3 linked regions of the Arabidopsis thaliana genome follow. The protein of the gene in region 2 interacts with the protein of the main gene of each other region in a pairwise test. Each region holds a gene or a part of one and is shown on either strand. Other genes may lie near its edges.

The links.
Region 1: the proteins of ATAF1 (region 2) and FTA interact in a two-hybrid assay, tested with the Arabidopsis thaliana proteins (one large-scale study listed by BioGRID).
Region 3: the proteins of ATAF1 (region 2) and AT1G51805 interact in a two-hybrid assay, tested with the Arabidopsis thaliana proteins (one large-scale study listed by BioGRID).

What each region holds. Positions count from the first base shown.
Region 1 is NC_003074.8:21,937,275-21,946,507, reverse strand, and holds FTA (farnesyltransferase A), read right to left. Parts: upstream 2,339-9,233; 5' UTR 2,300-2,338; coding exon 2,075-2,299; intron 1,939-2,074; coding exon 1,829-1,938; intron 1,559-1,828; coding exon 1,438-1,558; intron 1,353-1,437; coding exon 1,257-1,352; intron 1,156-1,256; coding exon 727-1,155; 3' UTR 501-726; downstream 1-500. Other genes in the region: AT3G59390 (glycosyltransferase family protein), read right to left, coding at 101-177, 263-348; AT3G59370 (Vacuolar calcium-binding protein-like protein), read left to right, coding at 3,976-3,990, 4,176-4,448; UTR6 (UDP-galactose transporter 6), read left to right, coding at 6,866-7,033, 7,154-7,270, 7,563-7,619, 8,087-8,164, 8,636-8,740, 8,948-9,070, 9,205-9,233. UniProt on the Arabidopsis thaliana protein: Essential subunit of both the farnesyltransferase and the geranylgeranyltransferase complex.
Region 2 is NC_003070.9:264,499-273,269, reverse strand, and holds ATAF1 (NAC (No Apical Meristem) domain transcriptional regulator superfamily protein), read right to left. Parts: upstream 5,278-8,771; 5' UTR 4,800-5,277; coding exon 4,640-4,799; intron 4,554-4,639; coding exon 4,276-4,553; intron 4,188-4,275; coding exon 3,756-4,187; 3' UTR 3,451-3,755; downstream 1-3,450. Other genes in the region: BSK4 (kinase with tetratricopeptide repeat domain-containing protein), read left to right, coding at 1-36, 121-206, 287-619, 715-825, 908-1,159; AT1G01730 (uncharacterized protein), read right to left, coding at 1,398-1,729, 1,837-1,891, 1,981-2,268; AT1G01725 (adenylosuccinate synthetase), read left to right, coding at 2,535-2,648, 3,180-3,254; AT1G01715 (uncharacterized protein), read right to left, coding at 5,766-5,977, 6,546-6,753; AT1G01710 (acyl-CoA thioesterase II), read right to left, coding at 7,241-7,318, 7,425-7,493, 7,644-7,692, 7,833-7,934, 8,193-8,249, 8,369-8,473, 8,558-8,613, 8,688-8,750.
Region 3 is NC_003070.9:19,218,214-19,231,123, forward strand, and holds AT1G51805 (Leucine-rich repeat protein kinase family protein), read right to left. Parts: upstream 7,585-12,910; 5' UTR 7,378-7,584; coding exon 7,305-7,377; intron 7,210-7,304; coding exon 6,684-7,209; intron 5,972-6,683; coding exon 5,493-5,971; intron 5,404-5,492; coding exon 5,259-5,403; intron 5,175-5,258; coding exon 5,103-5,174; intron 5,009-5,102; coding exon 4,937-5,008; intron 4,844-4,936; coding exon 4,772-4,843; intron 4,681-4,771; coding exon 4,505-4,680; intron 4,423-4,504; coding exon 4,175-4,422; intron 4,080-4,174; coding exon 3,953-4,079; intron 3,861-3,952; coding exon 3,795-3,860; intron 3,708-3,794; coding exon 3,518-3,707; intron 3,383-3,517; coding exon 2,974-3,382; 3' UTR 2,023-2,973; downstream 1-2,022. Other genes in the region: AT1G51810 (Leucine-rich repeat protein kinase family protein), read right to left, coding at 8,906-9,275, 9,369-9,558, 9,658-9,723, 9,974-10,100, 10,192-10,427, 10,520-10,704, 10,788-10,859, 10,932-11,003 and 4 more.

The sequences.
Region 1 (9,233 bases), on a different chromosome or scaffold from region 2:
AAGTTGCAACAACAAACCATTCATGGATCACCAAATCTAAGTCGAAAGAGATTCAAAATGTTCAAAAAGGTGAATCTTTCCAAGAGTGGAAATCGCTAACCTTCATCATCGGAGATCAAGTATCTTCCTTGGACAGTTGTTCTGCAACTCCGCTCTTCCAAAAATCCGATATCCTTCCTGCAAATTCATTCGAAAATCTCAAGGAAATGAAACTAAGCGGGACAATTCATAGAAGCAATGGTTGTTACCCAAAATTAATCACCTAATTGCAGAAACTCTCAACGGAAATAAGAAACCCATGATAAGTAGAAGAACGAGGAACAGCAGACTAAACCCAGATTTGGACATAATTCTTGTCGGAGAAAGAACCAATCTTTCGACCAAATCACGCTTCCGACTTCGACCACTTCAGAAACTTTTTTTTTAATCTTATGAATTAGTATAGTTTTGTCGTTAAAATTGAATTGGGGAAATCCGCGAGCCAAACCAAAACCCGGTTTCGGTTTTGATCTTCCGGTTATCGAGAGAGCAATGCGTTTAGTCAAAGTGTGTGATGCAAAATCATTCTTGAGAAAGCTTCTCTGAATATCACAAGGCGAAGGAAACTGAGAAATCAAGATTGTTTTGATACATGTTAACATGAACATGTGATTCATAAATAAGCAGTACATACGTAAAAACTAATAATCAAGTCTTTTTCAAGTGTGATTTTGGGGCGTCACATATTCAAATTGCTGCCACTGTAATCTTGCTCTTCCTCCATGCCCAATAGTTAGCTCTTACAGGATCTACACGACCAAGAATAGTACACACCAAATTGGCCAAGTTAGTCTCTGGTTCTTCATTAGCTAGAGCTCTCACTGAGTCTTTATGCTCGTTGGTTGGTCTCAGTCCATCACATAGAAGATCCAAAAGGGTGCTCAGAGCGAATCCATGGAAGCAATCTGTGCGGGATAGAACATTCAAACAGACTGAGGAAACACTTGGATCACTAATCCAGGATTCTTTGTCGTCTTTGTAAAGAGCTTTTAGGTATCGCCATGAGCTCTCGTTTGCAGGATTGGTTAAAATGGCTTTGATTGTGTAGCTTACTTCAGATTCTCTCATGGCTTCTAGGCCTCCCAACAAAGGAGATTGGGTGATGACATAATACCTCTGTCAGATTAAGGGAATGAGATTATACAAATAGGTGACAGAATCGGCAATTGATAGATTAGAGATACAGAATTTCGTATGTGTATCAACGATCAAGTTACCTGATTCCAGGCGGAATTGTTAAAGACGTCAGCTTCAAGGAGCTCGTGACAGTAATCGAGCTCATCTTCCCATCCTCCTAATGCCCGTAGTGTCCACTGCAGATTGTTTCCATATTATCAAACAAAAAGATATGCAATGATACCCCAAGTGAATGCTTTAACAAGGTTTGAGATCGCAAACCTGCCTATGTGACCAAGCATGATAATGTTTGGCATCAAGTGAAAGTACTCTACGGGTAAATTCAAGTTCTCTCCCTGCAACATCAGGACCCAGTTTCTCTGCAACCCATCGCCGATGATGCCTAGAGAAAAGGAAAACATAGAGCAGAAGCATGGACCATCAAACTCAAAACAAACAACCAAGGGTTTTAACGTTGTATAATCAGCAGATATGAGACACTATGAACTTAACAATGTGTACAAGAACAAACTTTCATCTATGGAGAAGTAGAATATACATTTATTGATTCAAAATTATTCATCAGACAATTTTCAAAAGTATAACTCACTCATAGACTTTCATGATCAAAAGCACATAGATCAAACAAGGTGTGAAAAGGTATGAACTTTACCACAGTTGGTAGTTCTTAGAGTTATCCTCAGCAATGCGTTCGATGAACTCGAGTTCTTCAAACAAGTCGTGATTAAGGGCCTCGAGTACTAGGCGCCTGAAATGCCACACCTTCAAAGGTAAACAAAAATATCGGTAAGACTAAAAATTGAAGCAACAAGGACCAATAAAAGACTAAAATCCATCAAATTTCAAAACCATAAGAGTTCAGATAGTTGTTGATTATATGAATTATAAGATTGATTACTGTGTAGTTGCCGGAGTTTAAGAGGAGGGTTTCTTCCGTGAGTCGTAGTGCGCGAGGAGATCGCTCGTCGGAAAAGTAAATCGCACGGAAGTAATCCATAGTCTCGCGGAACTCTTCCTTGTAGGCAATTGGCACCACTGGATTCGGACCATCGTCCTGAGTCAATGGGACCACGTCTGACCACTCCAATCGTTGGCTCAGTGGCACGGTCTCGTCGAAATTCATGTTCCCCGACTCCGATCCAAAGTCGAAAACCGAAGACTCCATGAAAAGTTGAAAACTAATTAGGGGAGGGGTAATGGGCTTTTAAGCCCAAACCACAATTCTACTATGATATCCTTTTTTGGCCCATTTTTAAAAATAACCACTTTCTTAACCAAAATGACTAAATTAATCATCATCAAATCTAATGAGAACATGTAGTTAGAAACCAAAACTTACCCACCTAAATTTTAAGTGCCAAAATTTTATTTTCTCTGTTTTTTCCCGCCAAAAAATTGCATTTAAAGTCTTTCTAATTTTGTTTAGAACCCTTAAAAAACCATTGTAAATCCTTTAAAAATTCTTAGAAAATCCTAGTAAAGTTTTTTAAAGCTTTGTAAAATTGTTAAAAACTCTTGTAAACCATTTTAAAACTTATTAAAATCCTTATAAAGTTTTTAAATATACATGTAAATACTTTAAAATCCTTTTTAAAACATTTTTTCAATATTTTAGAATCCTTATAAATCATTTAAAACCATTGTAAAATATATTTTAAGGGTTTAAAAGGCTTTAAATAATATATACAACAAGGATAATTTTAAGAGTTTAAAAAAAAAAAAAAAAATTTTTTGAGAGTTTTGAAAGCATTTACAAAAGTTTTCAAATGACTTTAAAAGGAATTATAAAAGTTTTAAAATCCTTTAAAATCATTGTAAATCCTTTTAAAACTCTTAAAAAAAGGCTTGTAAATATTTTTTAAATCCTTGTACTTAAAGCATTGTATAACAGCATAGAGGCCTTACTATTCACCATTACATCAAGAAGAAGCCCGTAATGGTGAAGAAGAGGTGACAGCTGCTATTATTGTCAATGGTTTGAAAGATGAACGAACTCTTTCATTAACCAAGGAAATGTTTAGGAGTTAAGATCATGAATCAACATTTTGGTGTTCTAGTTTTAGCTTCAGATATCGTATTGATTAATCCTTGATTAATCAGCACCCTCAGCTTTAGCAACACCTTTGTCGATCTTTCGATCCTTTCTCTCCCGATTGTACTGCTTGCAACCAACAATATTCAACAACCAAAAGTATATGCATATGCATACTTGACAGGAGGTAAATGACTCTTATTGCTTAATCATGGTCCCAACTCAACACATGATTAATAAGACCTAAACAATCGATTAATGAAGATTAAGTAATGATTTTTCACAAGAGCTGAGGAATAACAAAAACAATATTTTATTTTGTACTTTTTAAAAATATGAAAAAATTCCTAAAATAAAATTTACAGTATGTATATAACTTTACAACTTATTTTAAAGTAAAAATTCGTAAAACTATATTTTTTTTTAAGTCATAGCTTTATTTTTTAAAAAATAAAAATCACAGTATAAGACTTTACAGCTTATATAAAGTAACAGCTACCCTCTAAAGCCCTCTCCAGTCACCCCATACTATGTGGGCATGAGGTGTAAAATAGTACAATTGCTTTTATATATAAGCAAAAAAAAGGTTCGTTCATGTGCAATAATCATCATCATGGTTCTTTCAAAAAACTAATAATTTTATCTTAATAGATATTTAGTTTGAAAAAACATTATTGTAAACGGTTTGCTTCTACTATAAATACCTCTCATCTTGATCAAATCTCTTCATACACCAAAGCATCACATACACTATATTTTCCTTCGAAATGGCCACCGTTGAGGTATATATTCTCTTTATTTTTATTTTGTCAAACTATAAACCTGTATCTATGGTTCATATTCGTTGTTAATATATATATATATATATATCATGTATCTAGAAATCTATGTCTATCAAGTGATATGGACTATTCGCCGTTTAAACGGCATGCATTTTTTCGTTTAATAAGTGTGTTTTCGCTTACAGGTTGAACACGTGACTTCAGTAGCAGTAGAGATCGTTGAGACGGAGGTGAATCAACACCCGGAAGAAGTGTTTGTGGAAGATGCAGAGAAGACAAATGAGGATGAAGAAGAGAAGGCAGCAGTGATCACTGAAACTCCAACAGTTGTGGAGGAGGAGAAGAAAGCTGAAGAAGTGACTGAAACTCCGGAGGAGAAGAAGACTGAGGCGTTGGAGGAGAAACAGACTGAAGTTGCGGCTGCTGAGGAAGTCGCCGTCGAGAAGGCCAAGGAGTAAAGAGGAAGGAAGAAGCTCTATATGACCGACCTTTTTCGATCTCATATCGTTTTCTGTTTATTTTATTTTATCAACATTTCACCTTTCTTTCGTGTTGAAGAGCCCATCTTGTTTGAACTGTTTATGTTTTTTTGGTCTCATATCGTTTTTTGTGTGATTACATGAACATAGTATTGTAGTCGTAAATCAACAGAAGCTAGACAGAACCCAACAAGAAACAATTTAAACAAGCTTGGGCTCTTCAACACGAAACAGTACCGCCAAATTATACACAAATTTCATCAAAACAAACAAATTAAACAAGTCATAATTTATCTATGTATGGGGAATATCATTTTGAGATAGATATAGATAGAGCTACAAAAACAAGTTAATATCTAGTACTAAAAGAAGAAGATACAAAACCGCCTAGTCTTTTGTGGGGTGAGAGTTCCATCCTGCAATGCTTCAATCTCCTCTTTTTGAGACTTTCGAAATAAACCAAATGTTTCACAAAGTGGGTTAAAGAAGAAAGATCAGTTAGTCCATTCAGTGTATCCAAACTTACAAAATGCCTTAGAAAACTGAATAAGATTATAAGAAGACCTTACGTTTTCAAGAAGAGGCGGCCACATACTTGCAAAGTAGTCAGCTGCCTCATCGGACATCACCTTTCTTTCCTTATACGCTGAAGCAGTTACATGAAACTTATTAGAAGTAAATCAAATTCGCTTGCTAGCTGACTAGCTCAAGAGCGTCATCCAGAAAACGTTTCTAAGATTTTGCAACGATATCAAGCGTCTGAGGTGAAAGTAATGTGAGCAAAAATCTGATCTCAGTTAACAAAAATCTAAACAATCAATACTTAAAAGAAAAATCTAAACAATCAATACTGTTTTTAAATCCAAAACAGTAAAATCGAAAATAATCAAAAGTTGAATTTTGGAAAATAAAATTAAAATATGAGCGGGTCAATGTTAATATGCATATAAATATTAATATTAAATAATTTATTTAGAGTATAATTTTACCGATAATGTTTGTTTAAATATTATTATCAATTTTTTAACAAATAAATTAGAACCTAAATAATGTCATGGTTGTGTAATCCTCACAAATTATATAAATTACACTTTGTTTTTGTTTTTGTAGTGTTAGAAACACTTCACTTGTGTGTTAAATACATGATTCTTTATATGTCTTTATCATTTTTTATTTATTTATTTTTTTCTATAATAGTAGTGAAAAAGGTACGACATATGTTATTTCATTCCTCAATATATTTATTTACTCAAATGTATATGTAGATTGTGCACATTAGTTAATTGTTTTGTTTATCTAAATCATAATTGATTTTTTTTTTATCAAAAGTAGTTGCCAAATCTTTATATAGTAGGAAATAATCTAATGTAGGATCAAGAAGGAACTAAATAATTAAAATTAATATATAAAAAAGATGGAAAGAGTTAGGCAATATGCATAAATAGAAAAAACAAATTAATAAAAATGTACAAAACAGGATTTGAAAATAAGTTAATGGGTCTACATTAACATTTAAAACAAAATTATCAACAAATACCAAATAATTAAGCCTAATAAACAAAATTTTCTAAAATACATGGGGTCAAGTGACCCCCTACTAACACCCTACCCCGCTACTGAGTATTACTGTATTAGTATCACCAACACGTTACAAAAACATGTGATGTGAGGATAAATAATTAGGCACATTATTTAATAAACTTGTTTATGTATTTTTCCCCTAAAAAACTATTGTTAGGCAGGCTGATTAGAGCAAATCTCTTAAAAATTCCGCAATTAATAAAGAAAACGTTGTTGTGAAATCAAAGCAAAAAAGAGAGAAGGAGAGGTCGTGTTAGATAATTAGAGCGCACTTGCGAGCAACAACGAACGACGACCCACTGATTCAATCTCCTCCTCTCTGCATATTCCTTGGCATCTTTTCTGGTACCGAAGCTGAGTCTCTGGAGAGTTTCTAGATCTTCTTCAATTCTGCAATTCAGAGCGAAGATTTATTAGTGATTGATTATTCACTCTGGAGCTCGAGTTCTGGATCCGTGTGGCTGGAGGGAATGTTCTGTTAAGCTGATTGTTTAGGTTAGTTTGATCGATCACGATTTTGATAGAATTTTGGAATGAACCGACAAGTCTTCTAATGGCGGCTTTAGATCCATGTTTGGGTTTTTGAGATCTATCTTTTCTTTTTCGCTCATTGTTTCTATTAGATTGTGATTTTATTTAGCTACTGAGATCTGATTGTGAGTTCAGATTTGGTGATTTGCCTTCTCTGCTAAAATTCCACATAAAGTTGATATCTTGTTGCGATTCTTAGTTGGAACGCGACTCATGAGTTGTTGTTGTTGTTTATCAGGCTTGTTGGATCAGTATAGAAATTGTCAGATTGAGAAAGACAACAAATGAAGAACGGTATAGCTGAGTGCCCTGCATGTCATTCAAAATTGGTCTCTCCTGGTAGCAAAACTATTTCTAGGGCTTATGACGACCACAAGATTAGGGTATCCTCAAAACAACGTGTCCTCAATGTCCTTTTGGTTGTAGGTGATTGCATGCTTGTTGGTCTCCAGGTAAATCATCTCCGTTTGACAAATTTTCCATATTTATTATCAGCGTTCTTCTTTTTCCTCTCAGCTCATCATTTGTTTGTGTAAATCACTTAAAAGTTACATACTTTTCCTCTTTTTCAGCCTGTCTTGGTGTATATGTCGAAGGTGGATGGGAAATTCAACTTCAGTCCTATTAGCGTCAACTTCTTGACAGAAATCGCAAAAGTTATTTTTGCGATTGTGATGCTTTTAATCCAGGTATGTTTCTGAACTGACTTACAATCTCGATTCATTTAGTGTGACATTTAAGTTGTACTCTAGTATCTAGGACTAGTTACTAGATGTTTCTAACTTCATAAGAAGGTGACAAGTATGAGAAGTTCATGATGTTGATAAACCAGTAAAGTGAATGTGAAAGGATCCCATTATGTTCTGTGCGTAAAGACAATTTCTTGATTTTTGAATTATTACCTATTTCTTGAGTCTCTTGCTTTTCTGTAAGAACCGTGGATGCTCTATCAATACTTACGTGTTTGTGTTCAAATTGTAGGCCAGGCACCAAAAAGTTGGAGAGAAGCCTCTTCTATCCGTTTCCACATTTGTCCAGGTATCTCTTCTTTGTCAATTAGAGTGAGAGTAGTGTATTGCCAAGCTGCTACTAGATTAGTGGTATGACAAAAAATGGGGGGAAAAAATTAAAGGAAAGAGAATAATGCCTTCGTTTAATCAATTGAATCGTCATGGTAGAGAATAATTCCGATGTTTTAATAAACTGAAGCTAGCTTCTTGAACTTTCATTGCCTGATGGCTAGTCATGTCTTGCAAACATGTCTCATCTTCGTTGCGCCTTCTTATTTTCCTACTGTTCATAAGGTTTTCTAGACTTAAGTAAATTGATGATTCGAAGAGTTACATGTTGGTATGTCAATGCACAGTTGTTTGAAATGTGGAATTTACTGACCAGTACATATAAATAATTGTGAGTTTTCTTAGAACTATTTTTTTCTGCTGAGCTTGAAAGTTCAATGGCTTGACCACTTAGACTGCAGAATTCACTGACATGATTTTTTACAGGCAGCCCGAAATAATGTGCTTCTTGCTGTTCCAGCCCTGTTGTATGCAATTAATAACTATCTGAAGTTCACAATGCAGGTATAGCCACTTGTTATTTTTCATTTTGGTATCCTTAAGTGTAATTAAGCTGTGGAATGTAGTGAGGTATATTGTCAGAAGTTGTGGCTCTATGGCAAGAGCATGTCATGTGGTGTTCTATCTGTTCCAGTTTTGTTGATGCTATATTTTTTTCTTTCCACGTCAGACATTACTTTAGTGAACCATAACCAGATAATGGAATTACCATTTAGAAGGATAAGTTTGTACACCTCTCTTTTCCACCATATCTTCTTATCCCTTAAGATCCGGTGGTCAATGCGTTACCTGTCATGTTTGCTTTGGGTGATAGATATTTGAGTCGTCAGCTGTTTACATCATAATTAAATTGTGGATTGATGTAATTATGATGTGCAATTACTATTTGATTCATCTCGGCTTGTACTATTTGATTCTACCTTGCATTCTCTATGTATTTTCATGTCATATGATAATGAAGTTTCTGCTGTGCAGCTATATTTCAATCCTGCTACTGTAAAGATGCTTAGCAACCTAAAGGTTCTGGTCATCGCTGTTCTATTAAAGATGGTAATGAAGCGGCGGTTTTCTATCATACAGGTCAGTTTCAGTTGTTCTTATTAGTTATATGTATGACCGGTTATCAATAACAGACAATATTGTTGTGGAAGTTTTTGTGTAACCTTCCTTTCGTAGTTACATCTTATCGGCCTAAAATTTTTTGATTACTCAATATAAATTCTTGGTTGGATTTTGTAGGATTTTATATTTATATTGCTTATTCATGTTATCCTAATTTTGTTATAGTGGGAGGCACTTGCTCTGTTGCTGATAGGGATTAGTGTAAACCAATTACGTTCTCTTCCTGAAGGTGCTACAGCCATTGGAATTCCTCTTGCTACGGGTGCATACGTCTGCACCGTTATCTTTGTAAGTATATTTGCTCATTTTGAAGATATTTTGGTTGTTCCATTCAGATAATCTGACTTCTTGTGCTTCCCCGTTGATGCATTATGAAAAGGTTGTAATTCATGCTAGAGGCTAAATTGCAAATTTATATGCAGGTCACTGTCCCGTCAATGGCATCTGTCTT
Region 2 (8,771 bases):
ATCTTGCTTTTACCCCACCTGAGTATCTACGAACTGGTGAAATTGATTTGCACCCTCCTCGTAGGTCATATTATTTCCAACAATTTCTACAACTTGAGACTTAAGTGTGTGTTGATACAGGGAGAATCACAGCAGAGAGTGTGATTTACAGTTTTGGCACTCTTCTGCTTGATCTTCTCACCGGAAAGCATATTCCTCCTAGCCATGTAAGTGCCCATGGTAGCTACTTTAATCGTTTCTTGAATTCTCTTTATTAATTATCTCAGCCTTTTGCTGTGTGTTTTAGGCCCTTGATTTGATTCGAGACAGAAATCTTCAGACTCTAACCGATTCCTGCTTGGAGGGACAATTTTCAGACAGTGATGGTACGGAGTTAGTACGCCTGACATCTTGTTGTCTTCAGTATGAAGCTCGTGAGCGACCAAACATAAAATCTTTGGTCACTGCACTGATATCTCTCCAGAAAGACACAGAGGTTCTGTCTCATGTTCTAATGGGTCTGCCTCAAAGTGGTACTTTTGCGTCACCTCCGTCTCCTTTTGCTGAGGCTTGCTCGGGAAAAGACCTGACGTCTATGGTTGAGATCTTGGAAAAAATTGGTTACAAAGACGATGAAGATGTAAGTCGTCATGCTTTACGGTTACCACTTTAGAGTTAGAATCCTTATGCTTCCCATCCCATGAAGGCTTCTTTATGTGACATGTTTAAACGCAGCTTTCGTTTATGTGGACGGAACAGATGCAAGAAGCTATAAACTCGAAGAAAAAAGGTGATATTGCATTTAGAAGAAAAGACTTTAGTGAAGCCATTGAGTTTTACACGCAGGTATGTCTTTCTTTCACACTTGAATCCGTAACAAGACCTTCCTCCATAGTTGATGATGCCCTGTCTATAAAAATTGTCCCAGTTTCTTGATTTGGGAATGATCTCTGCAACAGTCTTGGTGCGGCGAAGTCAAAGTTACCTAATGAGTAACATGGCGAAAGAAGCTTTAGATGATGCAATGAAGGCTCAAGGCATTTCTCCTGTTTGGTATGTTGCATTGTATCTCCAGTCTGCTGCTCTTTCTGTCCTGGGAATGGAGAAGGAATCTCAAATCGCACTTACCGAAGGATCCATTCTTGAAGCCAGAAAGATTTCAGCTTCCACACAGAACTAAAGACTTATTATTTTGGGTTTTGGTAGAAGATGAAGAAGCTTTGATTAACAATCCAAAGGTAATGTGCTGTCTCATTAAGCATATTGTGTAAAAAAAAAGGTTTAGATGTTAAGCATATTGTGTACTAATTAAGGCTTCATGGGTAGAAGCTAATCCATTGTTTCAGTTGATACATATAAAACATTGGGATGAACGGATACCAAAGTGAATAATATTATACAAACACCACTAACAAAGCTTAGAATGTGTTGGGCAACTCAAGCTCTGCCTCCACTTGCATAATTGGGTGAGAGCTTCTGTATTCTTCCTTTGACATTCCAGAATAAACAGGTTCAGTGCCTGGCCCTCCAGAGGTTATGAAGTTCCAGCCAAATGCCGACCCTCCAACCACCTTGTCGCCATCTCCATCAGAGCTGTGCTTCTCAGTTTCAGATGATCTCAGTACACTAGTAGTAGTAGTAGTAGTAGTAGTCGCCTTTCCGTTGGATAAAGAGTCGCTCTTAGCTGTTTTCTCACGTTTGGGAGACTCTCCAATCATCTCTTCGTACAGTTGAAGCATAAGCTTCATCTCTGCAAACATCATCATTTCAAGGGACACAGAATCAAACAAGTTGGGCCTTTTGTTGAGCTAAGTGAAAATTGAGATAACAAAAGAAGAGAGTGTAAGAGCTTCTCACTCTCTTGAATCTCGATAACTGCCTTAGAGTTCCTCAAGTCTGGAGTTCGTAAAACCTGTAGCACACCACAAAATCCAAGTTGTTATGTATAAACCCTTTCCCAAACAAAGAGTTTGAATGTTTTTATCACAATTATGGTCCAACCTCGAGAACGTGAGGGCGAAGATCTTTGACAAGGAGACGCATCTTGTAGTAGTTGGAGCTCTCGATCTGAAGATTCGCTTCCAGCGCTCGCTTTCTTCCCCTGGACGACGGATCTGTGGTAACTGTCGACGGAGGCGCAGTCATCTGAGCTGGCTGAGCAGGCGAAGGTAACTCAGCTGATCTCTGATCTGCAGATGTAGGAAGCGGAGGAGCTTGTGCTGGAAGAGATGAAGTAGCAGCAGGAGGAGGTTCGGTGACTCGAGTCGCCGGAGAGGTCGATTTCTCCATTTTCAATTTTCAAAGGTTTTCAACCGCCGAAAGAGATCGCCATAAATCAACGCAGCGGGGATCTTAAAAACGACGCCGTGAGGACTTGATGAGATGTTTGGGCCTTTCTGGGCCCATATTTGAAGTGAACGAAAACGGCATGAATTTTCTTACACAAATCGGATTGTGTGTCGTTTTACCAATAAAAAAACGTATAACATCATCATTGTGTCACTTGAAAAAAACCAAAATCACCGGAATTGTTCTTTCTGGGAACGAAAACATCGATGAATCCCCAAATTGAAAAGGTGGTGAAGGTAACCAGTGTGGTGGCGACTGCTGTTGTATCGTACTTCCTCTTAACCGCTGATTACGGTCCAGAGCCCAACGCTCTTGATCCTGTGAGTTTCTCTCTCTCTCTCTCTCTCTCTCTCTCTCTCTCTCTCTCTCTCTCTCTCTCTCTCTCTCTCTCTCTCTCTCTCTCTCTCTCTCTCTCTCTCTCTCTCTCTCTCTCTCTCTCTCTCTCTTTTTTTTTTGTTTGTGTTTAATAAATCGAACCGTCAACCTTCTCGATCATCATCGCTTCGAATCGCAGATATTTGCTACAGCCTACAATCACTTGGTTTCAATTGATATTGGTTAGATCTCTTTATTAGTTGTTAGTTGCTAGGGTTGAATTTTGATCTTAGAAAACTTTGAATGAGATATGAATGTTCCTGACTTCTATGCTCAGCTTTGTTGCGTTTGCCTGGATCTTCAACGAATGAGTAGTGACTACTTTGTTTTGCTGAGTTTTTAGTCTGTTGTTACTCTCTCTATGTTGAGAGTACTGATTACTCATTTACTCTTGAACACCAAATCAATTTCTTATGGTTCGATGGGGTTTTGTAGCCAATTAACTCTATATTATCTATGACATTTTGCATATGCAGATCAGACAGAGGATACTTTCAGCGCAAGATTCCGTGAAAGAGTTCATCTTTCCATCAAAGAAGTCCGACAAGTGACAATGGACAGTAACATGTAGCTCAACATCAGACTTCATCTTATAGCGTTTCTGCTAACACACTGTACTCTAGCTTGTATCCATTACTCCTCTACACTTGTTAGATATGTTCACAATAAATGTAAGTCAGATCAACTGTGAAAGCTGATAAATAAATATAGAACCAATACGCTAGTTTGTATCCATTACTCCTAAGTAGACAGAAAATATTAAATTGATTGCGGCACATATAAATATTAGCTTCTGACTTTTATGCCAATTTAAGAACAAGTGGATTTTCTTCTACCTAACACAGTAATACACTACTGATACATCCAACGACCACCGTCCGATTAGGGATGATCTGAAATCGGACGGTCTATAGAATAAACGAAGACTGAACAGAAATCTAATGGCCGAATCGGCACACTCATTGACCATATAAAACGGTCTCGTGTTGCCATAAACGCAAAAACGAGGGTCGTTTTGCGTTGCGTTTCGGCGGCAGGAAAGGAATTCCCTTCTAGTAAGGCTTCTGCATGTACATGAACATATCCTGTAGCGGAAACATCTGATTACTACTCCCTCCTCCTCCAAACGCGTTATCCACGGTGGCATCAATGTAATTAAACCCAAAATCAAGGGTATTGTTATTGTCATTACTTACGGCCGACCAATCTTTCCACTTGGGCTCGCTCTGAACCTCGCTCGTGAACTCCGGCGACACCACCTGCTCCGAGCAACTCGAATCCGTAGTATGCAGCTTCGGCACCGAATCCGACGTGTCGAAATACGCGAACTCACTTGTCTGTTGCGGCGGCGGAGGCATAACCATCTCCGTCACCTTCGGCTTCTCCTCCATGATTTCGTCGCCGTAAACAACCGGAGGCGGTGGTCCCCGCCTCTCGGTAGCTCCTTTTTTGTTGTAAATCCGGCAGAGAACCCAATCATCCAGCTGGGCAAAAATCAACACCGTTGATTCAATTTACCAGAAACAGAACAAGAGATTGAAACAAAGATGTGAATCAGATCTGATTCCATACCCTGAGACTATTCTTCTTCTTGCGAACGGACCGGTCAACGTCGGCGAGACGGTACTCGTGCATGATCCAATTGGTTTTCTCTCCCTTTGGAGCTTTGCCGGCGTAGAAAACAAGAGCTTTCTTAATTCCGACCGGTTTAGGTAGTCCGATCGGTTTATCAGCTCCGGTAGCTTTCCAGTAACCAGAACCAGCGGACCGGTTAGGACGCGAACCGTTGGGATATTTTCTGTCCCTGGGAGAGAAGAAGTACCATTCCTTCTCACCATACAAGGCTAAACCTGTAAAATTGAATTTGAGTCAGCAGAGAACAATCTCAGATTTAGAATCCGGCAAAGATTAAAGAGAAAGAGAGCTAGTATGTCACCAGGAAGCTCCCATGGATCGTATTTGTAGAGATCGATCTCAGCGATGATCGGAACGGCGATGGACTGAGAGGCACATTTGCGGCAGAGATAGTGCATGACAAGCTCTTCATCGGTAGGGTGAAATCGGAAACCTGGAGGCAACTGTAATAATTCTGACATAGTTTACCCTCTTTCTTAATATTATTGTTACTATGAATGGAGGAGGAATTAGGAGGAGGTTGTTGAGGATGATCCTGATCCTATCCTAATCAATTGTAGTATCTCTCTCTCTACCTCTGAAACTTGGCGTTTTTGAAACTTGGAAAGAATGAGAGAAAAGTCAATTATATAAGGAGAGGGAGTGGACACGTGTCGAGATACGGAGGAGGAGAAGAGCTTCTAGAACACACGTGGGTGGATGACGCTGCCGGGACACGTTTCGCAAGTAGAACTCCGTTGCTGACGTGGCGATGAGTTTGATGTTGTCATTGCTTACGTCTGTCGTTTCTGGGGGTCCACTCACTTGTCGTTAGAATCCAAATCCGACCGGTCCGATACGACCGAACCCCTGGGCTCTATCTTACTATGGATTCTTCGTTTCCGGTCGGTGGATCTCCGGTCCCACTGCCTAGTTCCTCCGTTTATATTTTTTTTTTGTCTTTTTGCAATAGGTTCATATCATTTCAAAATCCCACACGATTAAACGGTGATAAAGTTTATATCTCGCTCTAGTAGCCTCCACCATTTTCGACGGTGTTAATTATATTTTTAAGTTTTTGCTAGAAAAGCTCTTATATCAATTGGTTTTATGGTTTTAAGTTTCTTACACGGGTGAGATTGCTAAATCGCAAGCTTGGATTTGGGTGTTCTTGACAATTGTGCAACCATCTGATTATGTGATTCTTACATATACATACAGGGTGTAGAATCAGCCCAAGATTCTATAAGAGTCCATATTAAAATCAGAGAAAGACCTGTTTCAATGTAGAACACAATCAAAACAGAGGTTATGGTATACTCTTATTCTAAATGCGAGAGATGTTGGTTGATACTAATATAGTAGAAAGAAATACCAGCCATATCTCCTCCTATGCATTAGCTTTCTTTGAGTGGTAAAGCCAATAGGGAGAAGTAGAAACTGATCAGTTAGCTAGCTTTCCGCCTTGTGAAAGCCGGGTGCATAGTAGTTCCATTGAAAGAAATGGACTTGTCGATTCTCTCTTTACTCTCTCGCATTCTCTCTACAACTAGAGGCACTGTGGCAATGTTCTCGTACACTCTTTCTTTGAGCTGAATCAGGCTATCTCGAGATTCTTGTTCGATTCCACCTATATGTGCTCCATCTCTTGACACTAGAGGTTCTTCCAAACTTGCAAGGAACAAAATAACTGATGAGTTGGTTATCACAACAGCAGTTCACTAGAGACTTGTGTATATTACAATGCTATGAAATCTTAGTGTCACCTAATGTGGCCACTTATCTCATGGTATCTGTAAACAAAAATTGGCTAAACAATCATTTTCTCTCAGCTTAGCTAAACATATCATCACATAGTCTCATGCTTGTCGATTCTAAGCCACAAAAATACATGATTTATTGTAATGGAAAAGCCTTGTATATGTATCATCACCTCAGAATTAAGCGTAATAACTCATGAACATAATCATCCAGAGGGTATAGTAGCAAGTATCACAATATTCTACACGCATGGCATGACACAAACCTAAATGCAAAAAACGACATCACAATCAAAAGGCAAGTCTGCTGCTGCTAAACAACTTGGTCTTCACAAGAATGATCCACGAATAATGTAGAGGATCAATCTATTATTACATCATCTAGAAAGAAAAAGAGACTAAAATTCCAGCTGAAACCAAAGGAGAAGGAAGGTATCTAACTAAATATAAGCAAAGAAACGTACGAACCTGTGCTAGTTGTGCGAAAGCCCAAAGAATCGATGTTGGGAAAATTGGATCTACGAGAAGAAATCACAGAATTGCTCAGATTACTCGGTAGGCTTTTCCTGTACTCGGAAACCTTGCGCGACATTTGCTCCACCTCTGACTCCATTTTCTCCAGATCTTCTTCCGAATCCAAGGAATTTAGGTCTTCATTTCTGTGTTCGAAAGCCATGAGAATGTAGAATTCGTGCTCAGAGATACCCAAAATCCCAGGGTTTTTCCAAGACCAACAAAAGCGAGGAGAGTGGGGAGGTGGCAACAGAAACCCGCAAATCACAAATGGATACAAAACTATAAACCGGCCGGTTAAGCAGGTGTACCGGTTCCATCAAAGATACCCCCGCGGATCCAAAATGGGTCGTACGAAAACTAATTTGATACTTGGGCCCATAATTTTCTGGCCCACGAATCGATCTAAAGGTGTTCTTGTGAGAAAGAATTTTAAAACAAAAAAAAAAAACAAGAGAATTTATAGATAGATGATGATAGAGGTGAGAAGGCCGGAATCAAACAATGTACATACAGCGTGCTACATTGACATTATGAGTTTGTCTAATAAAATCTTTTATTTAGTACCCACCCAGATTGGTTTTTGATCTTTTTATTCGTCGCCTTGTACTCGTAATAATGTATCTTATTTAACTTACGTTGAGAGCCATTCAGAGCTTCGACGTGCCGGAGGGTTTTGGAGGTCTAGCCTCTCTTAATAGGGCCTCTTGCGTTAATGATACAACCAGCTGTTGTTCTCATATTCAAAAACACATACCAAAAGGAATTCTTTTATCACTTATCATTTCCAGATATGTATGTATAATAGGGTTCAAAAGAATAGAGAAAGAGTACCTCTCCTTTCCTGTTGAACATTTGACCAGTCACAAAACCACGGGTCTCATGCGCAGTTGGACTCACAATCTGCAAGCAGCATCCTTTGTGTTGTAAGTGGGTGAACCTCTTACAGCAAACAAGTTTATAAAACAACTCTATACCAAAAATCATTTTCATTTATTCTGAACAAACATTTGATCTGAAATGTTCATAAGAAACAAGGATAGAAAAAACTACCACATAGAGCAACCACTCGTCGGCTCTTAGAGGTCGGTGAAACCACATCCTGCAAACCAAATGAGGAATAGTAACTCGTAATAGTTACTTATCTGGAAGATCCCTACTGGAATAATGCCTCAATGTAATTAAAAAATTTAACCCAGACACACAAAACTCATACATCACCAAGAGAAAATAAAAACCTACGCATGGTCCAGGCTAAGTGCGGCGGATTTCACCCCTTTTCTCCGGTGAGGGTTCAAACCAACACCACAAAATATTAAATCCGAGGCAAATGCAACGACACATCTGCATATCAACATGGCTTTGCCAAATGATTAGTTTGCTAAGAATGATAAATTGAATTTCAATATACCGTCAGTTTTTCAATGCTATTAAGAAAGTTTGGCCTTTTACAAGTCTCAACCTATCAACTTGGGATACTAAAACACCATTGATTCACTTGTCTACAATCATTCTTGCCTTTAAAGTTTAAAGGATTGTTACCAGATGAATAATACCAATTTTTAGATGGTTACCTTGATATACATAGATGGAGTTACTTACCGGTGCAAAGCTTGATCATCAGAAAGCCTTCCCTTTGCTCTAAACCAATAGTTCAATCTGCAAGAAGGCATTGTGAGTTTCTTGATTTTTTTTTTAAGAAATACTTAATGGAATTTATGAGTATACACTCAAGAGTACTCTATGATATAATTGATTTATTTCAGCGAGTTGTTAACCTCGGAGGAGACTTTGTCTGATTTGTTGAATTGCTGGGCTCACAAAATCGAATCTCTATAGGCCATGGAACAAAGTTTCTAGTTGCAACTTTGTTCCGATAACTCCTGAAAGAAAGAAACAATTGGAAGATTGGTCCAACTTGAGCTTTTGATATAAGTTATCATACATTGGAAAACACTACCACTTACCTCGGTAAATGAGGATCAGTTATACGGCTTTCACGCAACTCCTCCAGTGATAGAAGCTGTAGCAGATAATGGTGAAAAATAAAACACACAACAATTTATTGGAACCCTTAAATCTGGAGAAATGATTTACCGTATCAGGATCTGGTACAGAGGGCATGGTTGACTCCTGGTGCTCAAATCCTTGTTGTTCTTTCTATGAAAGTAATAAAAGAGA
Region 3 (12,910 bases), about 19 Mb from region 2:
AAATTTTATATGAGGTAACTTCTAGGTTTTTCTTTTTTAATGAACATATTTTTGTCGGTAAATCATTAGAATTTTGCCAAATTGATGTCTGTCGAGATTCGGTAGAAAAGCCGCACTGTTTTTTTTTTTTGTAGTGATTTTAGGTTGTGCGGAGATGTTCACTCGGTCTTGGTAATAAAATTGTCCGACGAAAATATGTTCATTTAAAAATATCGGATATTTCCAACAGTAAATCGGAAATCTGTACGAATTTCAGAATTTTAATTTGGCAGAATACCAAAATTGGCGGTCTACTTATTTAGTATTATAAATATAAATATTACGATTTTTTATAAAATAAACAAAAATGTGATTTAATGTTCACCATTTAATATAGTTTTATGAACATTTATAAACGCAGTGGCATTCTTCTTTTAGTTTTCTATATTGTATTTTCCCTTGATTGGGCCTTGGCTTGCAAGTACCGATCCCATTAGCTTCTTTCCTCTTACATTGAATGGCACACCATTGAATGACACATGTTGATGAACTCAAAGATACCCCATAATCCCATATGTATTTGGTAGAACTTCAAAACACAGTTTCAGCCCCATTGTTTCCATTACCATCAACCCTATTATGGTTAATATTTAACACAAAAAATATCAGTTTTTCTTTTTGACAATTGAACAAATATATTATATACATATTTAACTAAATTTGTGTATATTAGTAAAATACACACACATATAGAGTTGATTGTTGAAATATATCACTAGAAATATAATAACAATAATCATATAATTCTAGATAAGATATATAAAACATAAACCTTTGTGAGAAAGTAGAAACCGTATATCGTTCTTATACTTCTTCTCTTCAAATGCGCTGAATTTCTAAGACTGTAGATGGATTTGGTAACAGTCGTTTTATGCAGCCTATGAAGTGATATCATAGTTACATTGACATGATCGTTTGAGATTTTCAATCATATTTATGATGTATTTTAACCAAACATCATTCTCTCTTATTTTTGTGAAAACTATAATCGTCAGCTTTTAAAAAACCAAAATGTAAGTATTGATTCAATGGAAGTATTTCGACAATAATACAAACAAAGGCTTATTTTTGTAATGGGTCTTTAGTTGAACAAAGGCTTTTTCACTAATGATTTAGTGCAAGGGTTTCCTTACCAAAAAAATTTAGTGCAAGGGTTTAAATTGCATAGATTGATACTTGAAGGGTTTAATCAGCCCATGAGGGACTTTTCATTAAATGTTCTAAAAAATATAGAAATTAGTTTAACATCAATTATTACTCTCTTGAGTTTTACTTGGTGGACGCTACCAAAAAATTGGTATTGAAAAGCCCGTTAAAGTATGTTCTCGATCACCATATATATATATTCGATAATAGGGGATGCCAAATAGATGCATCATAAGTTGAATGTGAAAAGCATTTTATGGCACAATCGTGGCAGTTAGCTCAAAATGAGTTTTATAATAAAAATCATGGTTTTCAAATTTAGAAACTTGGAATCGAGTGAGGAATATCTCAAACGATATCAATTATTCAAGAAATCGATGCTATATGGATGGATCATGGAAAGAAAGAGAAGTTCTGTGGAACATGATGATATTGTACATCATTAAATGGAGAGACGCCACAATGGGAGCTGGCAATCCCAGAAAAAGTCTATCTCTACTACATTCAGAAGTGCAAGCTTTTCTCTGGGCGATAAAGTGTATGATTACCGATAACAATTAAGAAGCAGTTTTTCTAACAGACTGTTTAGATCTGGTGAAGATAGTGTCTTCCCCAACCAGATGACCAACATTCTCAGCCTATTTGGAGGAATTACAGAGTGACAAAGAGGAATTCAAAAGTTTTTATTTATCTTTTATTTCACTTAGTGCAAATATTAAAACAGATAATTTGACACAAAAAGTTTGTGTCAAACTACATCATATCAATATAAACAATATTTCTCAGGAATTTTGACCTCTAATTAATATCGGATGACAAAAAAAAAGAGTTCCGTCGTTTTAGATAAAAAAAAAATTAACATAAGATAATTGAATTTGTTTATATAGAGAAAAATAACATGTTTTCGACAATTAATTTAGATTCGAATGATAATAAATAAATTATTTAAACGCTGTTCAAAAAACATTTAAATAGTTGTAAATGTAACTACAATTACAAACCTATAACAAGGATGGTGAAGATAGTGATAATGGTGGCCCAGAGAGGATTGGGTTTACTTCTCATTTTCAATGGAAAAACTGTTGATGTTTTAAAAGTTTAATAAACATGAACAAAGCTTACGAGTATTTATAACAAAAGTTACATTTGTCTATTTCTAGTACATCTCCTTCAATTTTGTCATAATTCCAAGGTTCTCCACTGATTCTAGTTTTTTGCTTTTCTAACTAAGTACGTGAAAGTCTTAGAATCACACAATTATTTCTGTTAACTACAACATTAAATTGAAATATCAAGATTTACTATTGGTGATTCAATCAAAAGAGAGAGAAAATTACCAATAAAAATCTGAAAATTTAACTCGAGCCAAATATATAGATAAATAATCCGCATTAGAGTTTGTTTAAATGGTGTGAAATCAAAGAAAAGGATAAATCGTCAAATGATGATAGATTATCCCTATGGTAAAAATGGTGGAGACTATATTACATAGAAATGGGTGATTTCATTCCAACGTAGGAGCTTCCGAAGTGGAGGTGTTCCAATAGTAATCAAGAACAAGAGTAAATCTAAATTCTCCAAACAAAAAATGCACTGATTTGAAACTGATACATTACGGCGGAACAATAATAGACTTTGGACTGTTATTCACACATGTATCAATGACAAAAAGTTCAGAGTTCATTAACAAAGGTGGCCTATAAGAGAGATACTAATTTGAGGATAGTTCTGTAAATAAAAACATATAAACAAATTTATGTGATACCGCATGATAATATTTCATGTAATCTACCTAGCCATTGGGCTCACATCAGTATCAAATGTCAAGCTTACCTCTAGGGAACTCTTTGAGTCCATGTCCCTACTCGCTCCTCCCCTTGAATTTTCAGATACCAAACATTCGTTTAATGCAATAAGAACTTGAGACATGGTAGGTCTTCTTGTTGAAGAAGGATTCAGACAAGACATTGCTAGTTCAACAGCTTTCCACACAGAACCAGAATCATAGTCTCCATTTAGACTTGGATCCATAATGCTAATGATGTCTCCTTTCGTAAGCATTATCCCCACCCATTCTGAAATATATGGCTTTTCACGGCTTTGGTCTATCACTGGCCGATTTGTGATCATCTCCAACAATACAATCCCAAAACTATATACATCACTCTTCTCTGTCAACCGATTTGTTTTGTAATATCTGGAGAATTTAGGAGCATAGAATTTTATCAATTTACCTTTCCAATAAAACAAAATTCTTTTAAACTATATTACTTACTCTCTTTTACCAAAATAATACAATATATAATAAAAAAATAATAATAATAATACTTACTCAGGATCGAGATATCCAGGAGTTCCAGCAACAACTGTTGACACATGAGTTTCACCTCCAATCGGAAAAGACCTTGAAAGCCCAAAATCAGCAAGTTTGGCTTCAAAGTGTTCATTTAACAATATATTTGTAGTTTTGACGTCCCTGTGTACCATTAGTGGTTTGCATCCATTATGCAAATACTCAAGCCCTATGCAACAAAATCCATAAAATTCAATCAAATGAAAAGCAAAAAAACATATATAAGAGAAATAATAGGGATACTAGGTAAACCAACCTTGCGCAGAGTCAATGACTATTTTTAGTCTAGTTTCCCAATTTAAAATAAATCGGTTTCTTGTTCCTATGTTTTAAAAGGAGAGAAAGATATCAATGTCTGATGCTATCACGATAAATCTACAGCAATATATGGTTAGGTCATGTTTGTTTGCTTACCTGACATATGTTCTTTTAAATCTCCATTGGCCATGTATTCATAGATAAGAGCCATGTTCTCTCCTTCGTCGCAATACCCAACAAGACCAACCAAATTCTTGTGATGAACTCTAAGAAGAAGTTCTACCTAAATACCATGCCAAAATGCATATGTTTAAGCTTTTAAAGATAGTTGAATCATTGATGTTTTCATTCGAGACAGTGATGAAAGTTAGAATTTACCTCAGCTTTGAATTGTTTATACCCTTGAGATGATGAATGAGAGAGTATCTTAACAGCTACTTGTTCAACACCGTTCACAAAGCCATGATAAACGATTCCAAACCCTCCTTTCCCAAGGATTCTTTGGAAGTTATTTGTCATTATCACAACTTGTGAGTAAGTAAACCTTTTGTTTTTCGTCACTATTGCTGGTTCAGAGGATCTCGGCGATCTACCATCTGATGCTTGCATGTAAGATGGTAGTGTCCCTAAGGTTATATAAGGCAAAATCTTGTTATGTTTGATGTGCATGTATGCTCTAATATTAATCTTGAGTTTATTTATTGATACCTTCAACTTTTGATGCCTTTTTCTTTCGGAAAACAAGGAACAGAATGAGTGCACCTATAATAACAGCCAATGAAACAATTGATGCAACCACTGGTACAATGATACTCTTTTTTTCGCCTTCTCCTTTGTGCATACATGAACCAGTTGTGCAAAGAATATGGGGATTGTCATCAAGACTGCAGAATGTGAGTGTTGTTAAAGAAACAAAATACATCAATTTCCCTGATATATATATAACAGGTTGAAAGTAACAAAAATATAGCTTACTGTAGCATCAATCCTTTCTTCTGAAGAAGTGAGGCAGGAACCGGGCCACTGAGGTTATTGCCTCTTAAGTCTCTATTGAAGTAGAAAAATAGTTAAAGGATAAACAAACATGTTCAGGAGAATGTCAAGAGTAGAATATATTGTAGTGTCTCATGAAAAACTTACATGACCATGATTGATTTTAAGTCAGCTAGAAATTCAGGTACTTCTCCGGTCAAATTGTTATTTGACAAGGCCCTTCCATTAACAAAAGTGAAATAACTCATTAAACATTATCTGTTTCCAATGGTTACAAAAATTTTGGCTTGGTCAGCAGTTGAGATAGACTTACAATATTTCTAGGTGAGTAAGATTTTGAATGGCAGGCGCGATGATCCCGGTTAGTCCACTTGCAGATAAGTCTCTGGAGAAAGAAACTGTGAGATATCTAGTTCAAAATTGACATGATTAAAAAAATCAAGAAAATCTATTGAATGATTCATCTTACAAGAAATTAATTATTGGTGGAGTACTATCTGAGTAACTGCACTTTAGACCGTCCCACGAATACTGTTTGGGGACACATGGATCTCCTTGCCAACTGCTTCTATTAATCAATCCATAAGCATTTTGAACATTCTTGATAGCAGCAGCTACGATTGTAAAGCTTGATGATATCAAGAATCAACACACAACACGCTAAACATTTTGAAATAAGATCAAGAATGTCAAATTGACATACCGTCATCTTCATCTGTCTCCACTTGTAGGAAATCAATCACGGTGAAAGCCTCTATAGCATTAAGTAAAGGCGGAAGAGTTGATTTTGACGTCTTCACAAGCTGCAAAATACATGCCCCATCTTCGCATTCCTCTGGTTTTAAGTTGGTTTCTGTTTCGGTCTTTAGCGGTATTGGACTGTAAGGTCCAAACAAGTCATTTCCATTCAGCATCACATTGAATTCCCTTGTATCGTTGGCCCTTAGTGTCTCAAGCTCTGCAAAGTGCATGTAGGAGTAAACCTTTGTAGTAGGAGGCTCTACGTTCCATGTAATGTTCAATGTCTCACTATCGTTTAGAGGTGTTGCGCCCGTTGCCATTACATCTTGTGATAAATCATAATTATCAGTAACGTTTACACCCAAAGTCGTCGATACTTGTGCCCAATTATTTTCCAGGAAGGATGCATGCCATACACGGTCATAGATATCATCTGGATACCTGCCACAAGTAAATGTTAGACCACATTACACAAATAAAAAGTTATGTTTACTGTCAATGTAATAATATAGTATTTCTAATTATTATTAGTTTTTTAATTTTAAATAGACAGAACAGCAAAACAAATTGAAAGGAAATTGTGATTTGAAAAAATGAAAACTAATCAAATCGAAAAAGTAAGGTACAATATAAAAATATAGAACCTAGAAATTGAAAATATGTAAACTATAAAATTTACATAAGACTCATAATATAGAAAATTAGAAAATAAGAGTTTGTTATCGTGTGCTTTAGAATTCTTACATGACAAAAATTCAGGGTATAACTTTAAATCTGACTTATTACATTAAAACAAAACATTTCTCAATCGTTAGATTTTTTTTCTTTTTTTCTCTTTTTCTTTTTTTTGTTGCAGCATGTTAGAACAACTAAATTCAGAAAATAATATTCAAAAATATATATTTATTCACCTAAAGGGATTATTTAAGGGTAATATGGGTAGTTTTTGAATTTTAATAATCACGAATTATAAAACATAATTTACAGATAACTAAAAGAGGTTTTTAGTTTAAAACCTATTTATACGGGTTAGCAATTTAGAATCTAAATATTGTATATATTATCTACGTATCATGTGGGATATAATCTAGTAAACTATAAATATAATGGTAAATTTAAATTTACAATAGAATTTTTAACAAACAAGTATTACCTTATCGTTTGACCTGAGTCACTAAAATACTTCCTAAATAAGAGCTTGAGTGAGCCACTTTCTGTAACGTACACATTTTTCTTCAATGGTCGTAGCTCCAAGATATTAATAAAAGGTATAAAATCTCCCGTCTTAGCAAGACAAACCTGTAACGAATCGGATTTCGTCACATGGATGATCTCCTCAACAGTTTCACTGCGGCTTACCGTTGCCCATAAATTTGGACCCAAGTAAAGGTCGAAGTTCGGCTCATCTTTATGACCATCGTAATTTCCATACACGAATGTAGCCTTGATCATATAGTTGGTGTCACGGCTCACGTTTAAGTTGTAGCAGTTTCGTGCTCCGTCTGGAAAGTATCTCAATGTCAAATTCGGTGTACTGTTGTTCTCTTCGAATTCCTTGGCGATTTTACCAGTTTTCCCACTGCTAACTAAACCGACATCTGATGTATATACTAAACCGGTTCCGAGTGCGTTGTAAGGAGAATCACGAGGGAGTAAACCGCAATCCACATTGATGAATCCTAATGAAATAATAGATGGAAAATATATATCTTATAGTCTAAGAAACCATTGAAGAACACATATGTATAGATTGAAACAACAATTTTGTATGTACCGGGTTGATCTTGAGCTTGAACAAGATGAAGTATCAGCATAAAAGTGGCAACGAACACACGATGACTCTCCATTAATATCTTCCTTACTATGCAAAGAAGGGATCTGTTTTTTTTTTTGAGTTAGCAAAGCTATGCATATAAGTTTATGATTATGTATATGAGGTATTTCTCAAAGTCCTAAGTCAAATTCTTATAAGTGTCACATTAATGAATCAAATAATTGAGGGAACACATTTAATGAGGATATTATTTCGATGGTGTAAAATGATTTGGTTGAGAGAAAATGACAAGAGTGGTCCGTTACCTTGCCCAGCCGTAATTACAGCTTACAAGTTGGAACCACAAAACCGTTGACTAAGTCAACTCGAAAGAACAATCAGTCTTTAGATTCTCCTTGAATTTTCTTATCTTCAATATTGTCAAGGATATGCTTTTTTCTATATTATGTGGACATAAGTAATCATCTGATAACCATTAATGACAATGACTTCACTTTGTAGTTTGTAAGCAATGTGTTGCCTTAGTTGACTATAGATTATTACAACATATGAATCTTGTTTGATCCTTTGTCAATTTGTCAAGTTGTGCTACTTGATATCCTTCTCTTGTTTCTTTGCTCCGTCCAATATTCTGCTCAGATACTTTCTTTTTCCAACAAAAAGTAAATTTTTGTCACCAAATTTTATGTACCTTTTGGATTAAGTATATATATTTGATTATATTCCCAATGGCTTGGAGCAATCATTTTATGGTTTTAAAAGTAGAATAAGCAGTTATAGTGTGAATGTGTGATATTTATTTTAAAAATGTTTGAAGGACACTCAGACCAACTCCAACGGGAGTTTCTCATAAAATCTCTCACCAATAAAATAAGAAAAAAATGTCAAAAGGAGGAGAGAGGTAAGGGAAAGTTTTCTTTAGAGAAACCAAGAAAAACTCATCGACAACGTTTCTCACAGTTGTCATTCAATCATTGGTTTAATTAAAATACTTTCCAATTAAATATTAATAATATTTGTGTTCACACTTATATTTATGTTCACACATATATTGAGAATCGGAAGTTGAGAAGTTGCCGTTGCTGATGCTCTCAATCTGTTATTTCCAAAATTGTCCCGTTCTATTCCATGTTTTGCCCCAATGTCGACCAAACTATTTCTATGATTTGCCCCAATGAAGAGAATCTATAAACCAAATTTCATCAATTTTGTAATTTGAAAAGCTAGGAGGTGAGTTTGCTTCTTTTATTGTCAGGAATTTCTTCTGTTTCCGTACTGGTGACTGGATCTCTTAGGTGACGCTGCTTATATACAAAGGTCACTCTGCATGTTAGAAGTTGAAGGGTCATAAGCAAATGCTATAGTTATTAATTCATGGTTATTTTTGGTAAAAGAAACATGCACCACCACCCATTATTTAATTCATGGTTAGTTGGAATAAACTGAAACATGGGGGAAAAAAGACTTTGAACTTCTATTGTAATTAGAAGTTCATTGCTTACAAAAAATAAAATTGATGCACAAAATTTAGGATAGTTGTAAAGGATATATAGGGTAAAATAATGATCCACGCGATACAATAGGAAATATAATCAGGACCTCTACCGAGCCATAGGGGCCACTTCAGTTCCGAAGGTCATGCTCACTTCCCTGGAGCTTTCAGAGGCCAAACACTCTTTCAGTTCAAAAACAACTTGAGACATTGTCGGTCTTGTCATCGAAGAAGGATTCATACATGACATTGCTAGTTCAACAGCTTTCCAAACAGAACCAGAATTATAATCTCCAAGGAGATTTGGATCAGTAATACTTTTGATGTCTCCTTTCGTAAGCATTCCTCCCACCCATTCTGCTATATGTCTCTTTTCGCGGTTTTGGTCTATCACGGGTTGGTTTGTAATCATCACCAATAATACAACTCCAAAACTATACACATCACTTTTCTCCGTCAACCAATTTGTTCGGTAATATCTATAAAATAGTTCAAAGTGCAAGAATATTACGTAATCATTGGAGACAAAATATCTACAAAATATATTTTCTTATTGAAGAAGTAATACTTACTCGGGATCGAGGTAACCAATAGTTCCAGCAACAACAGTTGATACATGAGTTTCCCCTTCTATCGGGAATGATCTCGAAAGCCCAAAATCAGCAAGTTTGGTATCGAAATGTTCATTCAACAATATATTTGTGGTTTTAACATCTCTATGAACCATTAAGGGTTTGCATCCATTATGCAAGTACTCTAATCCTATGAAAAATATTATTTTCACAAAGTTTCAGTCAGTCAAAGCAAAAGAAACAAAGAAAGAATATGATGAGGTTAGGTATTTGAGAAATCAATACGAACCTTGTGCAGCCTCGAGAGCTATCTTTAGCCTTGTTCCCCAATTTAATATAGAACCACCTCGTTTTCCTATGTATTGTTAAAAAAATAACTAATGTGTGTTAGATTCTTACATTCAATAGACAAATATTCAAAATTATATTCAAAAAAATAACTAATGAGTGAATTGTAAATGACAAAAAAATATATTATTCTGAGTTATTATTTGTTTTTCTTTTTCTTAAAGAGTTACCATTTGGTATGTTATAGTTTCACCATGATGTATTGTTATGAAAACCAAATATGTTGCCTTTCTAGTAAAAACAAATATTATGTTTACCTGACATATGCTCATCTAAGTCTCCATTGGCCATGTATTCGTAGATGAGAGCCAATTTATCTCCTTCTTCGCAATACCCGACAAGGCCTACCAAATTCTTGTGATGTACTCTAAGAAGAAGTTCAACCTAACGTACCATAATGATACACCAAATTAGCTTTGAAAGAAACTCTGGAATGTTTCACACAAAATTCCATTATGAGTTGTGGTATGAATACCTCAGCTTTAAATTGCTTATATCCTTGAGCTGATGAATGGGAAAGCATTTTCACAGCAACCTGCTCTGTACCGTTTACTGAACCATAATATACAATTCCAAATCCTCCTTTTCCAAGGATTTTTTGGAAATTGTTTGTCATGGTTAAAACCTCCGCATACGTAAATTTTTTATTCTTCGTCACTATTGTCGGTTCAGATGATCTACTATCCGCGGGTAGCATACATGATGTTGGAGCTAAAGTTGTGATGAAAACATTCAATGAAACTATGCAAGTTTAATGTGTGTGTATTCATAAGTATCTTGATCGATGAATATAATGTGAATACCTTCATCGTTTGACGGGTTATTCTTTCGAACAACACAAAATATCATCAATGCAACTGTGAAGGCAACAACAGAACCAATTGATGCCACAATTGGGATTGTCATGCTCTTTATCTGTCGTCCACCCTCTTCATCTTTGTTTACACATGACTCCACTGTGCAATTAAGCTTCGGATTGCCTTCAATGCTTTGGATTGCAAGTCAAGAAAAAATTAGTTTATCATAAAAAAACATGTTAGTATCAAACAAATACAATATACAAATTCTTACTTCAATTTCAACATTTTCTTCTCTATAAGCTTTTGAGGAACTACACCACTGAGATTGTTCCCACTTAAGTTTCTGTTTAGATAGAGACATAGATCAAGCACAAGGATCAAGGGCTAATAGACATCATTCTCATGGGAAACTTACATGACCAAGAGCGACTTCATATCCGCTAGAAATTCAGGAACACCTCCAGACAAGTTGTTATTTGACAAGTCCCTATAACGATTAAGATAAAATAACCATTCATCTTAGTAATTTCTACCAACATTTTTTTTTTAAAAACTAATGATGCTTATCTATATAGTTATCTGATACTGACAGTTCTTGTAAATTGGCGAGATTCTGAATGGTCAGCACGATAATTCCAGTCAATCCACTTGAAGACAAGTTTCTAGTGATGAAAAAATAATGAGTATGTTAAGTGTACAAAAGAAAAGTAGGAAAACGATGAAATCATGTCCTTACAAGGAAGTGATAATTGGTGGCGTAGAATCATCCGAGTTGTTGCAGTTTAAACCATCCCACAAGAACTTTTTGGGTACACATGGATCTCCTTGCCAGGTTGTTTTACTCAATCCATAAGTAGATTGTATATTCTTGATAGCAATCACTAGTAATTATTTATAAAGTTAGTTGATATCAATATTCATATTTTGTAACTGTCTTCAAAGGTTCCATGTTTCTATCTTTCTTTCTTGAGCTACTATATATATGGTTAGTCTAGTTTCTATTCAAGTTCGGTATATATTTAAAGCTTAACATTAAAACCCGAAAAGAATATAAGTATATGAAAAACACACATACCTTCATCTACATTTGTTTCTATCTGTGGGAAATCAAGCACAGTGTAAGCCTCCATAGCATTAATTAGAGGCGGCAAAGTGGACCTTGACGTTTTCACTAACTGCAACAAGCATTTCCCTCCATCGCATTGCTTTGGTGCTGTGCTATATACTGTTTGCATTTCTAAAAACTTAGGACTATAAGATTTAAATGTAACATTTCCGTTCAACACCACATTGAATTCCCTCGTCTCGTTGGCTTGTAGACTTTGAAGCTCTGCAAAGTGAAGGAATAAGTAAAACTGTGAAGTTGGAGGCTCTAAGTTCCAGGGAAATTCCATCGTCGTTGTGCTAGCTTTAATGGGTGTTACAGCTGTTTTCATTACACGTTGGGGTAGATCATAATCATTAGAAACGTTTATTTGGAGATTCGTAGTTAAAATCTGCCAATCCTGGTAAGGTAGGATTTGTTTCCATATGCGATCGTGGACATCATCGGGGTACCTGGCACAAACTTACATTAAACATAATATGTTTGTCTACTCTAGAGCAAAAAATATAATGATCAAGCAAGCGATTCTTACTCTATATAGCCCTTTAAATTGCTATAATAAACCCGAAAAAGATAGTTGAGGGAGCCACTTTCGTTGGTGTATATATCGTCGGCCAATGGTCGTAGTTCCAATGTATTTATATAAGGTATACTTGTACCTGTCTTAACAAGACACACTTGCAAAGTGTTTGATTTCGATACGTGGAGGATCTCCTTGATAGTGTTATCAGTATTCACCGTGATCCACATATTTGGGCCGATGTAAAGATCAAAATCCGGGATGACATTACGACCATCATAGTTTCCATAGAGAAAGGTTGGCTTGATTAGATACTTTGTTCCCCTTGTGACATTCAGACTGAAACAATTTCTTACTCCATCAGGAAAGTATCTTAGCGTCCGCTCCGGTTTCTTGTATAATGACTCGAGTTCCTTGGTGATTTTACCAATTTTCCCGCTCTGGACGAAACCATCGTCTGACGTATATGTTAGACCGGTCGAGGATTCTTTGTAAGGAGAGCCTTGAATTGACAAACCACAATCCAAATTGATGAATCCTATAGTATGTAGGAGACTACATTAATAGGCGATTATTAGGTTCCTATGACTAAAGAATACGCAATAAGTATTAGGAAAATGACAAGTAGTGAACATTGAACAATAGTGGATTTTGAGCATTTTGGACGATGTTACCGCTTTCTTTATTTTCTTTGTTTTGACTGAAAATTTTACCTCTTTCACTTTCGGACGAGTGTTTTTCTTTTACTGCAACGTGTTATTTGTTTTAC